Linked DNA regions of Lonchura striata. The protein of the gene in region 1 interacts with the protein of each later gene in a pairwise test. Links are inferred from orthologs where the notes say so. Each region holds a gene or a part of one and is shown in the gene's direction. Other genes may lie near its edges.

Evidence for each region.
Region 2: the proteins of ESRRG (region 1) and NR0B1 interact in binary tests that used the Homo sapiens proteins (3 or more experiments, as listed by UniProt). The link is inferred for Lonchura striata from reciprocal best matches to the Homo sapiens genes ESRRG and NR0B1.

The regions. Positions count from the first base shown.
Region 1 is NC_134605.1:9,921,810-9,929,528, forward strand, and holds the start of ESRRG (estrogen-related receptor gamma), read left to right. Parts: upstream 1-4,706; 5' UTR 4,707-5,106; coding exon 5,107-5,204; intron 5,205-7,719. UniProt on the Homo sapiens protein: Orphan receptor that acts as a transcription activator in the absence of bound ligand. Binds specifically to an estrogen response element and activates reporter genes controlled by estrogen response elements.
Region 2 is NC_134604.1:106,124,011-106,131,805, reverse strand, and holds the start of NR0B1 (nuclear receptor subfamily 0 group B member 1), read left to right. Parts: upstream 1-4,794; coding exon 4,795-5,533; intron 5,534-7,148; coding exon 7,149-7,393; 3' UTR 7,394-7,795. UniProt on the Homo sapiens protein: Nuclear receptor that lacks a DNA-binding domain and acts as a corepressor that inhibits the transcriptional activity of other nuclear receptors through heterodimeric interactions.

The DNA.
Region 1 (7,719 bases):
GGGAGTGGTCTATGCACTCACCCTGTGCATTCCCGGCTGCTCCTGTCTTTTCACCATGGGCAAGGGCGCTGCCTGGGGATGCTGCCCTTGTCCTTGTGCCTGAGCCATGAGACTGTGGAAATACCATCCATATTATGCTTACCTGTTACTGGCATATAGCCCACTGGCCTCAATACCCCAGAGAAAACGTGCACTTCAGCCACTGCGTGGAGTTCAGGTAGATCTGCAAAGTCCAATCTTACGTGCACCGGCATTAATGGCAGAGCTTCCATTCAGCTTAATTGATATTCCTATAAACATCTTCAGGTTTCTGTTTCTAGTGGAGGCTACAGCTGGGTGGACTTCTTAAAGGGATGTTTTGCATATTGAGGTTGAAAGGGAAGTTGAGCCCGATACATTAACTTATCATCTGTGTCATTCTCTTGACATCATTTGGATTACTACAAGCATAAATGACAAGCAGATTAGGTGCAAGATCTTCACACACACATCCTTTTTTAGCATGTTGATCAGTGGCGATGTTACTTCTCTGAAAACCTTATTCTAAGTCAAGTCCAGGCAAGCACAAATCTGTGCATGCATATACAAGTGGAGTAAGGCCTATCCTTTACAATACGTTTTTTTCCTTTAATATCTAGGCAAGATCTCTTATTATAACTTGACCATTAGGGGAAAGAATATGGAACTTTTCTCAAACAGCTTTTCTGTTGGGGAATCTAGTGGCAGTTGCTTTGAAGCATGTGTAATTGATTATCATACATTTATTTTAAAAAGGAGACATAACAAGGAATCTAACATGATGTTTTGGAATACATCTTCTCCCCACAATGTTCTTGAGGGAAATGTAAGGTTGCAGGCATCATTTCATGCCCTGTATGTTTTTGAACATAAATCAAAGAAATTGTTGGAGAGTTATAGATGTTCATAGCAACTGTAGCTATAATAAACACATGCAGTATATATTTTCTAAGCTATTTTGTATGGGTGAAAAGCTGAAGCTGGCATTTTGTATGAACAATTCAACTTAATCACTGAAAATTTATTTCCTAGTTAGGATGGTTTACCAGTGTAGCATGAAGTTGTACACCTTCGTTTAAGTTCATCTGGTTATTGAAGGCTCAGTTAAAATTGGAAAAGAATTTAAATTGGATCTAGATACCTTGAATGAATTATTCCCAACGTCAAATTTATCATGTATCCTCCATGGTGATATTTACATCTATATTATCACCTATGCTGGTTTCAATGCATGCTGGATATTTTAGAGAGCAAATAAAAAATAAGAACTGTGTGAAAACCCAGACAATTTTAATTGTACTCATAGCACAAAATATGAGCATATTTAATACAATGGGACGGAGAATCTTGAATGATTGAGTAGTGCAGAGCGTCTAATGGGAATAGCAAATAGCTTAGGCATACACAGTTCCCAATGATTGTATTAGTTTTGGTTTAAAGTTTTAGTTTAAAGCAACTATTATGGAGGAGAAGAATATAGCCACTCATTTTTGTGATGATGCATAAGGTGTTCCATATGTTGATTAGGATCCATGTTCATTTAAAAGTTAAAAAGAAAATCCAGTAGTCACAGTTACTATATATATGGATAGATGGAAGAAAGGATACATTCGGGACCTGTGCAGGAATCACAGGTCTAGATTAACAGTTTCAGATTTAATATTTAAGCAAAGTCCTAAGTGTCTGAATAAAACAGGTAGGATATGTTTCTTGGAGTCTCTGTGTACTGTTGGATTCTGAGACTGATAATTAAAACTGATAACTGCTTATTGAAAATCTTGAGACTAGCTGAAAGGTGTGACTTGAAAAGTGCCATTATGCTTCTGCTGGACTTCGTTTCATTGCAGTTATCCTCAGTTGTTCCTCTTTAATTACAAGACCCAGAAATCTCTTTAAATGAGAAAGCTTGTCTCTTATTACTTGACTGCTGGAAACAAAGTTTTAAAATCTAAAACAAATGTTTGTGTAAAAATGGAGAATCTGCTCTCATTTGTGGTATTAGCTGTAAGCGTCTTCTTGATGATATGTTTGGATTTTAAGGCCGGCATGAATTAAACAAGCTTTCTAAATTGTTTCAAGTGACAGACGTCAGGGAGACAGGGCATGGCCCATCTTGGACACCTGTACTAGTTTAGACTTTAGAAGAGCAGGCAGTGGGATAGGTTTCCAAGGGCTACCTTTTCCACTGGGGATAGGAGGTATGGAGACCTAAAGCTTCTGACATCACGTAAGCCAAGGGTCAGCCTCCCCTTCATTTCTCTCCTAGCTCTTGCTCCCCATCCTCTCTGAACATTTTTGTGGTCCTGCCTTAATAGCCAGACTACTTTACCCTGCCTTCTGAAGGTTGGAAAATAGGCTTTGAATTGTTACTATTCTCCTTGCTGGATACAATGCTGTGAAAACAAAATTCAAGAGAAAATCAGAAAGGAGAGAAAAGGGAAGTCGGGGTGCTGCAGGTTGAGGTGTATCTGGGAAGTCTGGGTGGAGAAAGATTTTGCAGTTCCAGTTTGTCCCATGTTTTGGCCTATGTATACTTTTACAAAAGAAGGTAGCTGAAGGAACTGCGTCCCTGGATTTATATTGACCCAGCTGTGGCAAGGGGGCACAGTTACATAGGAGAGGTAAGGAGGAGTGGAGTCAGACTGGATGTCCTCCAGCCTTGACAAGAGGGTCTGTGTGGGTAGGACTACTGGATATGGTTGTATTACTGCTCAGGCAGCATTCAGAAGTCTCAGCTTTTCTGTGCTGACAGTTGGGTATTTAGAGGCTGTTGAGGAGGAAACTTCATTCACTGAAATTCCTGCATCCACTGGGATTTTTTTTTTTTACTTGTTTTAAATTAGTGTCTTGAGTTTCACCTGGCAAAAATAACTTGTTTTACTCTGTGCTGAATTTCCAACAGAATAAAAAACCCTCTTTTGCTATACTAGAGTCAAAAGGTACCAGGTGGACAAGTGCTGTGAGTGAGTTATGTGCAGTGTGGGCAGCAGGCTGGGCACTGGAGCACAGAGAGCAGGCGGATCAAGGTCACTCGTGGCCCTTTGTATGGCACATCTGGGAGCAGGGTGCACAGCTGTGAGCTTCAGTCCTTTACTTTTCTCCAGCATGCAATCCCTTTCTCACTGCTTGAGCAACAGAGGGACAGAAGCTGTGCTTTTGCAACATGCATTAAATGTGGTGGTGTCAGCTTAGGCAGGGGAAGGTGAGGTTATGTGTGAGGTGACGCAGGCAGACAGGGAGCCCTGCCTTGTAACCAGGATTTTGAGTCGCTGCCTTGCAGTGTCCCTTGAGGGAGAAGAGCAAGATTAAACCTGCTGATGCCACCACACACTTCCATTTCTCTGGTGTGACACAGTCCAGGGGTGGACAGGAGCCCCTTCCCAAAGGAGAGAGATAAATCTGGGAGAAACACATGTTAAATCAATATGGTTCCCCTCCTGTAAATGGTGCCTACTTTTAACAAAAATTATTTTGGATGTTTCACTGATCAGATTTTGCTTCTTCTTACCATTTTTTATTTTGAAGGGAGGTGAGGACATGAACTATGAGTGTCTCAGAAAATTGGGCCAGAAGCCCTTACACTTGTTTGTGCTTGTGAATGAGTGTGTGCACACGTGTGCAACGTGCATACACAGACTTGGAGGTTGTGTATGCACAGGACCTCAATTATTTTGCTGTTTGAATCACAGAGCATGTTGTCTTGATGTACTGTCAGTTTTGGTTTCTGCCCTTTGGAATAAAGTTCAAAATATTAAAGAAATAACACGCAATATACTAGTAGCTAGAATAGTCATAGTGCCTGAGGGGAGAAAGGGGTGGTGATTAATCAGTTTCACAAATGCCCAGGAAAAAAACCTCAACTCCTCCTAACCAAACCCTGCGATGGTGCACTTTTAAAAGGGATTCTTCTAAATTTTGTTTCTGAGGTTTTCTGGCTGTCCTGGAGAGAGAAGTAGGTCCTGTTTGGGAAGCAGCATGCAAGCTCATGCTGTGACTGAGTGCCAGGGGCATGTGTGGTCCCAGTTGTTCTTTGGAGAACCACCCTGGGCTAAATGGTGAAACAACTACATCTGAATTAATTATTGATAATTCTTGAACAACAAATATGAGGATCTGTTTGGAGTATTGCTTCCCAGTTAAGAGTTGAAATCTAGTTCTAGTACACGTATTCTTAAATGTTGCTTTTCTGGTCTTACCATTTGCTTGGACAGCAGTAAGAGCTGCAGAAGCTGGTGCAGGTTCTGCCCATCCCTGGTTTGGTTCTGGAGGGCCAAGGCAGGAGCTAAGAGGGCACTAGCAGATACTGAAGCCCCACTGAAGCTTTGGTCAGAATTTTGCAGAATTTGGGATGTTGTGCTCCATGGTTTCAATCCAACAAGGACCAGGCTAGATCTGACTCTAGATAAAATACTAAATGAAAAGAACAAGCCACCTTCCACTTCCAAAATCTTTTGATTTGTATTCTGTATCAGAAAAAAAAGCACCGAGCAGTGCATGACTGATGCAGGGCAGGCTCAGGATTAATTTAGGATAAACAGGATGCCTGTTGCACTTAATTTAGACATTCTAAGGCAGAAAATGCTTTTGAGTGCAGCTAACAGCTTCTCATCTGCAAATGTCACAATCAAGACAAAGCAAAAGATACTGTGGCGAATTCTGCAGTTCACAGTCCTGACACAGTCAGAACCTCCTATTACAGTGAGGGAGACTTCTGCTTGTATCACGGCTGCCTGGGATGCAGGATTTCAGAGCGGCATTAATAAAAATAATGCAGTAAAAATACAATTTCAAAAGTCCTGCAGGGCATGCAGCAAACGCCGGAGGTTTGAACTGGGTGAAGTTGTCAAAGGTTGCTTTGCTCCTCAGAGCCTGGCAGTAGCTCCAGTGAAATGTGATGCCATTGGTTTTCAGCAAAGGTTTCTTTCTGCAGGGCTGCAAACAGAGATCAGCTGCTACTGTGTATACACAACTAGGGAGCAAATCAAGCAGCACATTTAAGCAGCCTTTTTAACCCTGAGACTTTCCAAGATTTCTTCTTCACGCAGGAAGTTTCCTTTATATTGTCAGCAGTAGCACTTTGCTCATGTAATGAGATCAGAGCTAGGATCACTGCTGCACAGTAGAAAGACTTCCTTAAGACATTTGTCCTTGAAACTGCACCAAACTCTTGGAAGAACCCAGAACCTGTAAGTATGTATGATATAGGCAGCAATAGCACGGTGCAAAGCTGCAATCAACCATTATATGATATCCGATTAGCAGAGCAGGAGGGATTTCTTTTTTCGGATGTTATGTTACATTCATTTTCAGTTTGTTCTAAGGAAACAAATCAATTCGGGCTTCTGATACAGTGACTTTGCAGTAGATGAGCTGGTAGTAATATGTTTGATTTAACTATTTGTTGCTGACATGTAGCTTGTGGGACAAATATTGTAGCCATCAAACTGTAAAGAACTTTTATGATGTTTTTAGGCATTTTTAAGGGATTTGGGGGTCCATCTTGCAAATAAGTTTCTGCTTTGCTCTTTGATTTTGGCAACCCCACCCTACGCCAAACTATAAATAACAAGGCAAACGGAATTAGTCCGTATTGTTCTTAGGTGGCAATAAAATATATTTGTTTGCAGGCTTAATTTAGTCGTTAACAATGTTGCTCTGTTTAGGGTGTTTTTTGTCTTAATTGGATTCTACTCAAGGCTGTCTATTTTGTGTTTTACTATCTTGTCTGTGTCTATTTAAGTTACTTTGACGGGACTGCAGTCTGGTTAAACCTGTATTTAAGCACTATTTATATTCCAAGCACATTTCTGGTGAAATAAGTGTTTGAGATTTTTATTTTTTTTAAACCCTTGAACAGTATAGTTGTATTAGCAGTGAGCGCCAGAGGAGGCACAACATGGATGAATGTCAGACATAGACCTCATAACCCAAGTCTTCTCTGTACTAAGTCTGACCCAGACGTGTCCACTTTGGCAACTCCAACTAATAAATGCCTTGAGCTCCCTTTCAATAAATTTTTCATACACAGCAATACTTCTGCTTATCAGATTAATTTCTCCCAGGTTAGCCTGATTGATAGCTGGACTGTGATTTCTTAAGAGCTTTCTCCATGAAACCCCACTGAAGAGCTGCATTCCATTTAACCAGTGAATGTAAAAACTGGTAACCATGGATTCAGCCACCACTAACTGTCGAGAGCAATGACTTGTTGTAAACAATACAAATGAGCCAGGATAGCAGAAGCAACCAGACATGAAATTATTTTAATAGAAATTACGGTAAAGGTCATGTGATACTTTATTGGCTTGAATTCAGTGTTAAAGGGAAAGTATTTCAGTTTTTCAGGTTTGATTTAAATGCACATCTCCACTGGCTTCACGTCCGTGTAAGACCTCCAGAAGGGCAAATTAAACAGTTCTTTGGAAAAGCCTCTGCTTAATTGTACGTTGTGACTTAGGCCCTGATCCTGAAAGTGTAGGAATAGCTACAGTACATGAATAATCAGTGGGATTATTCCATACTAAAAAATAAGTATGTTTGTAGGATTCAGACCTTTAAAAATAAGTTAGTAAGAAAAAAATATATTCTAAGGAAATAATAACCTGTCACTAAAGGTAAATAATGGAAATGCAGATTTTACTGATGGTGTGTGGTTTGACTGGAGATTTTTGTTTGCTTGTTTCAATAACATGAAAAGAAGTTATATTTATCCCTTTGTTTTTAAATGTTCTGACTTTAATTTCTCATCCAATGTTCCTCAAATCCTTCTCCTAATTTATAGCCTCTTGTATGGAAAACTGGTAAACCATGGTGTCAGCTATTATAATATAGCATGACGATAGGCACATGCAGATCGCATGAGCAGTCGTGTGTCTTGTCTCAGGAATTTCCATCCCTACGAAATCTTTGCTGACTCCCAGCTGTCACATGGCTGTCACTCACAAATTCTGACCATAACCAAATCCTCCTTGCCTGGGCATGCGCTCACCAAACCTCTCTATGTACCCATAGACACAGCCACCAATGTCGCTGCTTAAGCACTTTCTCTGCATAAATATGTCTCTCCCCCAAACCTGCTGCATTCCTCTAATGTATTTCCCTTAATTTTTTTTTCCTGGGTGCTTCTTCCTTAATGTGCCTTCCTTTGTAAGGAGGAACCTGGAATAGGAATAGTAGTCAGTAAGAAATGAAAACAAAATTACCTTTATGTGTTATTTAATATAGCATTTCAAATTGGTGAGAGTTTAAATTCACAATTTTCATGGCCCCCTATACTTCTTCAAGAAAATTAACCCTTACTGGTCTGTAGAGAAAATCCTGTCACCTTGCAGTATACTGGTTTACTGTTTTGTGTATTTATGTTTTGTGGCATTTATATTATTTGAAAAATTTAGAGTCGTAGGCTGGAACTTTGGTTATTTTTATTTTTCTAGGTTAATTCTATACTTCATACATGTCACATACATCATCTCTTTTGTTTTACCAGTAATTTTGATTCATATATTTTTCAACCAGAAGTATTTCAAACAATTCTCATCAGTCTCTTACAGCTGACCAGTCTTAGCCAAGCACGGGTTGCCACTAAAATGCATAGATAGATGCAGGAGAAATTCTGCTCTTCCTATTTTTCTGAGCTGCATTGCCAGACCAAGGGGGCAATTGCTTCTGTGGGTCAGGAAGGTGAGATTTAGTTTATACATA
Region 2 (7,795 bases), on another chromosome or scaffold:
TGCTACTTGCAACTGCTGTCACAAAAATGCTTCCAGGTTAGAAAGATTGGTTCAGCGAAGGATCAGATGTGTGCCAGAGCTGGGGCAAAGAAAGTAGCAGCAACACTTGTGTGGGAGTCACCTCTCAGCTCCAGTGAGCTGCCAGATTGGCTCAGGAGGGATTAGGGGACTGCAGCCTGAAGCATTGCACACTGACAGATTTTGGGAGCCCCATGAACCCACTTTGGGCCAAAATATAAGTTATGACATATATCTAAACACTGAAACCCCAATTGCATATCTAAATGTACAGTTTTGGATTGCTGGGGTCCACAGCTTTTTACAGACCCCAAAGATCAATTAATCTTTTTTTTTTATGGGAAACAACTGAGTGTCTTTCACTGTAAAAAGTTTACAAGTTTGCTTCTTTCCCTTATTTTGCCTACCCCAAAACCTAGTTAACACTAACAGAATAACCTAGCATTAGCTAAGGTAAGTTAGCATGTGGGTACAAGGAAAAAAGGCCAGGCCTAGAGTATATGAGGCCTCCTTAAATTTGCTATCTGACAGTGGAAATATGACAGTGGAGTGCATGGTCCAATAAGAGTAAACTGAAGTTCAGAATTGTTATTTCTGAATTCAAATTGTCATGGCCACATTTTACAAAGAACTGATCTGAAAATAACAACAACAACAACATAGTCCCTTTTTCATGTTCTGGTTTCTTTAAGGTATGTTAAAAGGCTGATTTTGTACCATTACAGTTTTTACCAGATCAGACATCATCTACTTTCAAGCAGCCGGCAGGAAGGTCTAAACCTGAGCTAAACTCCTTTTTACATACTCTGGCTAATTCTATAAAAATGTCACCATATTCTCACCCTGCTCCAGATCAAGCACATATCGTGAGGTGAGCTGGTGGTGGGATACAGAAACACTGTCAAATCACAGCCTTAGGGAAACTGAAAAAGCTCTGGAAATTCTGGTCATCATCTCTCACATGGGTCCACCTCAACCATCTTTGGCTCAGGCTCCCAGTATCCTCCTCCTAAGGAACCCATTGTCCCTCCAGGAAGGGGACAGTAGTGTGTGTGGTACAGCACATAGGTAGAACTACTTTTCCCTTAATCCCCACATTTCAAAAAAACACCCCAGAAAAAAACAGGGGACATGTGAATGGTGATTAGTCTAACTAATGGATAGTCACAATGAGAAAAGAATGACAAGCAGCAGCATAATTGAGTTCCAAAACCTTGTTTTAATAAAGCATTTATTTTACACAAGACATATTGTTTATCATATCCTTATAACAATATTCCACATTAAACTTTGTTTTTCTGTAGCAAAAAGTTAACTTCTCTTATGCTAATCACCAAATTGAATCTACTTTACATCTGATCTTAAAATAAAATTTTATTTTTCACCACTTACACTAAAAGGAATAGTGTTCATTCATAGGACATCAGGATCAAATTCTACACTGGAAAAAAGTTTTTCTCAAGCTTATGGTGCACTGAAGCACTGATGGCATAAAAACAAATGCTTGTTTGGTCTTGTTCTGAAACTGAAGGCTTGCCCTCTGGCCAAGAACCAAATGTGCTACCAGATGAGTGATACAGAGACACTGAGCAGCAACATCAGAGAGCCAGGCTGCCAAGACTGCACTGTATCACCTCCATATCCAAGGCTTTGTCTGAGTTAAAAAAACCCTGTAGCCACACACACATATACACAAAACCAACCCAAAACAAAATCAATCCAAAAAAGCCACAAACAATACAAACAAGTAATCCTTGGTCTGGAAGCTTGTAAACTTATTCATGATTGTACCACAAGGAGCTTGGTAATACCCATGTAACATCAGATCTTCCAGCAGAAACCAGGCACTTCCCCTTTATTCTAAAAGGATTTTCATGCATTTTCCATCAAACAGTTTAGTTTCTGTTAGGGATTTTGGTTTTGGCTGTGAATAGAATGATTTGTTGTTAATTTAGCTTGAATGCTATGGAAAGGCAGAACCCAGATTTTTAAATAAAGACTGTACAAAATGCTAAATATCAACATGAAAAACACAAATAAATATTTATAGGATAAATAAATTAAAACATTCTTAATGTTTGAGCTCAGAAATAGATCATCTACCCTGAATAAAATAGACTTCCATGTATATCAGAATACATTAAGAATTAGGATGAGGGAAATGAGTGTTTAAATGCACTTGTCAGAGAAGGAAGTACACTTGTAACCACAGCAATGTAATTTCTGGCACTGAATAGTAAACCAAGTTTCGGTTCCAGTGTGGGGTACACATTTTGTTATAATTATCAAAGACAAAGTCTTTTTGTATAAGTTTGTTTAGAAGACAAAGAGTCAGCAAAATCATTATATAACAGATGAATTGCATCTACATTTGAGACTTGTTTGAAAAAGAAATACCTTGAATAATTAAACACCTGCAACCAATATTTCTGCATAGGGAAAACAAATCTCTTGTAGACTTGGTATAAAAGTTATATTTACAAGTATTTCCTTTGTCTATAGCCCTGTGTAAGCAGCATCCTCCCATAATAAGCAGAACATTCCCACAGTTGCAGTCCAAGGTCAAAGCTGCAAAGGCAGTGATTCCAGTCTCAGCTGCACTGTGCTTTCCCATAGATATTTTTCAAGTTACAAACTCATAAAAAACCCAGCTAGATTCCACAGTCAGACTACTAATCTGTACCTCATAGGAGAAATGCTACTGAACACAACTGAAAACTTAGAGATGCTCTTTTCCTAAAAATTGGCAAGACTTACCTCTGAAGTTTGTGAACAACCCCTCCCAAAGAAAAAAATACCCTAAAAGGAAAAAGACTAAAAAGGCTGAAAGAAACCATCTAAAATCCTAATGCTGTGGAAACATGGATGACTATAACAAGAAACAACCTAGAATGGCAAAGAAATATTCTAGACAAATAAATGACTGTTTTGTCATTACCAGGGATGATTACCAAATGAAAACTTTGGTAATATTTAGTGTTAGTACATTTCTTTTGTAAATCTAGCATATTTTCTTTCTTAAAGGATGTTTGGTGAAACCACTGACCTGTCAGCAAACTTTAGACATCACTTAATTGGTGCACTGTAGCAGTTCTCTTCTATTGCAAAGCCAATAAAGGGCTTTATAATGTTTGAGTCTGTGGAAAAGAAAACACATTTCATAGGTAAAACCAAAAGCATGATAATCTAGGTTTTGGACAGCCTGCATTTGGAAAACAAGGTTTACTTGAGACAGATAGCCCATCAGTGTTTTATACAACTTTATAAAAATGTGCCTTATAAAAAGCACAAGTCATTTGTAAAAGCCATTTGTAAAGAACATCCCCTCTGAGTCCAATTGTGAAGAAAGACTTAGAGGAAAAAGACTATATGACTCTATATCGGTGTAAGCTGATAGGGTAGGACTGACTTCACAGGGAAAGGAAATTGCCAAGAACTAGCTCAAAATTGTTGTGTTTCTACAAAATCCAAAACACTCAATAGTATTTGCTTAAAAAAAAACCCAAACAAGCAAACAAAAAAACCTCCAAAATGAAAACAAACAAAAAACCCCAAAACCCAAAACACAACAGCAAAGAAAAACGCCTTTATGGAAAGAAAATGCAGCTTTCCAAGGGTGATTTAGTCTTCTCTTGGTAGAGATACTGGTAGCAGAAGGTACAGAATTTTGCTTAAAACTGGCTACTTTCTCTAACTCTCTGTCAAGGTTCTTCCAGATCACATGAACCAGAAAACATGTCTGGTTTAGGTGATAAGCAGCAGATAAAAGTAACTTTATTTTCTGTAATGTTTATTTACTCCACTCTGCTGCATCCACTTTTATTTAGTCCAGTTGAGAAGGTGGTTATTTTTCATTCCAGAGTCCACATTTGGACAATCATGATTCCCCTGTCCCTCCTGTGTAAACACCAAGGCCTGGAGGGATGGGAGGCTTCCTTTGGAGTTCATATGACACTTGGAGGACATGGGTCACAAAAAAAGTAAGTATCTAAGAGGAGAAGTTCATGGAGAAGCAGAGCCTGAAGGGATAATGAAAACGGCATCAGAAAGATGGGCCATGTGTTGAAAGGCAGAGCAAGGGAATTATTAATGGGAATGGTTCCATGAGGGATCCCAGTGGGCTATGCAGCTGCACCAGCCTCAGGGCACCCTGACAGAGCCTGGTTTGCAACCCTCACAGAGCACCCATTTGGGCAGGGACATGTCCGATTCTCTGTCCCCGCATGGCAGCACTGTGGAGTTCATTTGGCACAACAGGCAGGCATCACTCCTTAGGGCAGGCATACACGAAAGTCCTCGATGTCATTAGTGGCGCCACCTTTTTCTCTTCCAGCGGGAATTTAATTATTTAGACCAATTCAGCGCTCCTTTCTTCCCCAGCACACCCTTTCTCTCTCCTCCCGAAGACCTCTCGGGTGCTTGTGAAGGCAGCGGGGCCGGCGGTCATTTCTCGGTGGGGTCCCGCGGGGGCAGGAGCTGCTCCCTACGGCGGCAAAACGAGAGAGCGGCGGGAGCTGCCGTGTCCTGCCTTGCCCTGCCCTGTTCGGAGCATCCCGGCGTAACACCAGCCGGGATGGACTCGGAAAGAGGGGCCGGGAAGGGACATCCCGCGGGAGCTGCAATTTGCCGCTCGCCGCGCCGCAGCCTGCGGGCAGAGGCGCCCGGCTCGCCGGCTCCCCCCGGGTATCTCCGCCTCAGGGAAGGAGGAGGAGGAGGGTTTCGTTGTTTTTTTTCATCACTCCTCCTCCCCCCCGCCTCTTTTCCAGCCAGTGGAAAATGAGTGTCTGCCCCTCTGAACGGCCGGTAGAGCGCCTGCGGCTGCACACACACACAGACACGCACACGCCCCCGCCGGCTATAAATAAGTTAGGGAGCCGGGCAGAGGGCGAGCGGCGCCCAGGAGGCAGGGACCGCCCCGCCGAGCCTCCCCGGCGGCTCAGCCCGGCCCCGGGCGCCGGAGCCGCGGGTGCCATGGCGTGCCGCTGCTGCGCGGAGGGCCGGCGGCACGGCAGCATCCTCTACAGCATCCTCCGCAGCGAGGAGCGGGCGCTGCCGCCCGCCGGGCCGGCGCCCCGGGGCTGCCCGTGCGGGTCGCGGCGGCGGGTGGCCCTGCGGAGCCCGCAGGTGGCTTGCAAGGCGGCCTCGGCCGTGCTGGTGAAGACGCTGCGCTTCGTGCAGAACGTGCCCTGCTTCCAGGAGCTGCCGCTGGAGGAGCAGCTGCTGCTGGTCCGCAGCTGCTGGGCGCCCTTGCTGCTGCTGGGGCTGGCGCAGGAGCGGGTGCACCTGGAGACGGTGGAGAGCGCGGAGCCCAGCATGCTGCAGCGCATCCTCACCGCCCGGCAGCAGGGCGAGCCGCGGCCGCCGGCACCGGCACCGGGCCGGCCGCAGCACGGCCCGCCCCTGCCCTCGCCCGCCGACATCCAGGCTATCAAGGGCTTCCTGGCCAAGTGCTGGAGCCTGGACATCAGCACCAAAGAGTACGCCTACCTCAAGGGGACGGTGCTCTTCAACCCGGGTGAGTGGCCGGGCGGGGCAGCGGCGTCTCTGCCACAGGGCAGCGAGGAGGGCGGGGAGAGCCCGCCTGTGTCCCCAGGGAAACGGGGCAGACCCGGGGCTTTCCTCGGGGTGAAAAAGGTGTTGGAGGAGAGGGACGGGGAGCAAGGTTTCACCTTCTCCCCCTTCCTCAAGATCCCGGCCGCAGGCAGCGAGGGTCCGGCTGCAGCTCGGTCTGGGGTCCTGGGGGCTGGCGCTTTCCACAGATGCTTTCCGCGAATTCCCGGCGCCTGGCAGTCGGGTGGAGAAGGCTGGGAGACAGCAGCGGCTCCTTGCTTGTTTCCCTCAGCGGGAGCGGCGGCAGCTCCACTCCCCGGCCCGAGGGCAGCGGCTCTGCCCGGGCCGTGCCCGGGGGTCTGCGCGCCCCGGAGAGCAAGGGGAGGCTCGAGGCTTCCTGCAACAAAGTGCTGTTGTGGCTTTTGGTGTAGCATTTATGATCGGGGTTTCTTTGGTGTTTTTGTTTTGTTTTGTTTTGTTTTGTTTTGTTTTGTTTTTTTTTTTTCCATCTTTCTTTGTGGAGACTCCCATAGATGCAACTCTACCGAGTGACTTATTATCACGTCGGTGACTGACCTGAAAAAGTAGCTGGCAGGCTGGATCTGGTACTTCCCAAGTGTGCAGTACCGTGTGAAAGTGGGACAGGGCTCTGCTGGCGCTCCCACTGCCAAAGTGTCAGTTACTGATGGTTTAGGTTCCTGTAGTGGTACTTTGCATTTATCATCCTGCTTGTGTAGCTTTGCTCTCTATACAGATAAGAGAGAAAAAGTTACAATACTTAAGGTGGAGCTCATGTAACACAAGTCAAATTTGGAAGCTGGTCTAATGCAAAAAATAGAGGCATTGTTCTGGAAGGAAAATTTTCTTCTCTGAAAGGTTCATCAAGCACTGGAACAAGCTGTCCAGGGAAGTGGTTGAATCACTATCCCTGAAAGTGTTCAAAAATCTCTAGATATGTTCCTCAGGAACAAGATTTAGTGGTGGACCTGGCAGTGTTAGGTTAACTGTTGAACTCACTGATCTTGGAGGATTTTCCATCCAAAATGGTTCTATGATCACATATAACCTTAATTCTGCACCTCCATCTTTCAGTATCCTTACTGCGGTTCATTTGCAAACTTCCTGTTGCATGTTGGAGTCATTACTTCTTGCCACTCATAAACTGGAGTAGAAACAGTAGACAAAAGAAGCCTTAAATGTAAAAAGTGCATTATTGTAGAAGTGAAAAACTGAAAAAAGCTATTCTTGTTGTCTTCCCCACTGTAAAAGTGTTTTGGAGAACATTCTTCAAAGGTTTTATCAACTAATTTGTTTAACACCTAAGTGAATGCTGTCAAACAACAAATTTTAGGTTTGTGAAGAAGAGTGTTAAATATCCAAAACACCAATATGATAAGAATTTGACCTGCACAATAAATTTGGCATATTGACTTTGCATTCAAGAAGTCCTGTAGCAATTTAATTTCCTTCTTTCCTTGAGTGATAATTACAGTCTGTGAGCTGTTAGGAATTGTTCTGTAAGAATAATATTGTTTTGTAAACAAGAATATATAAACAAAATAATTTCTTTTCATTTTCAGATCTACCTGGACTGCAGTGTACTCAGTACATTGAAGGGTTGCAGAGGGAAGCACAGCAAGCTCTAAATGAACATGTCAGACTCATTCACAGAGGTGATGAAGCCAGATTTGCCAAGCTGAATGTTGTTCTCTCCTTGTTAAGATCTATTAATGCTAATGTGGTTGCTGAATTATTCTTCAGGCCCATCATTGGAGCAGTGAACATGGATGACATGCTTTTGGAAATGCTTTGTGCAAAATTATAATTAAAATTATAAAGGTGTGTAAAATAATGAAAAGAAGTTCAGTGCAAAGGAAGCTCCAGAGCAGGATAGTGTAAAGTGTTGTAAATAAACTAACTTATTGTTTTTACATAGATAGTATTTTTGTATTCCATAATAAAATATTCTTCAAGTTCTGAAAGCAATTTTTATTAAACACAATGGTTTTGGAATAAGGTTATGGTCATCAAAAGAAGCTTTAAGGTTGTAGAGAATGTTGATGTCCAAAGCTGACTGGCTATTCTTTTACCGTGCCTCTAGAATAAAGAACATATTTACTACATTGTACTTTCAAGGTGAGTAATCCCTGGTTTTTCGAAATATGCACAATCTTACTGGTATTCTTACTACTTCTATTGACTTTAACAAAGTCAAATTTGTGAAGGT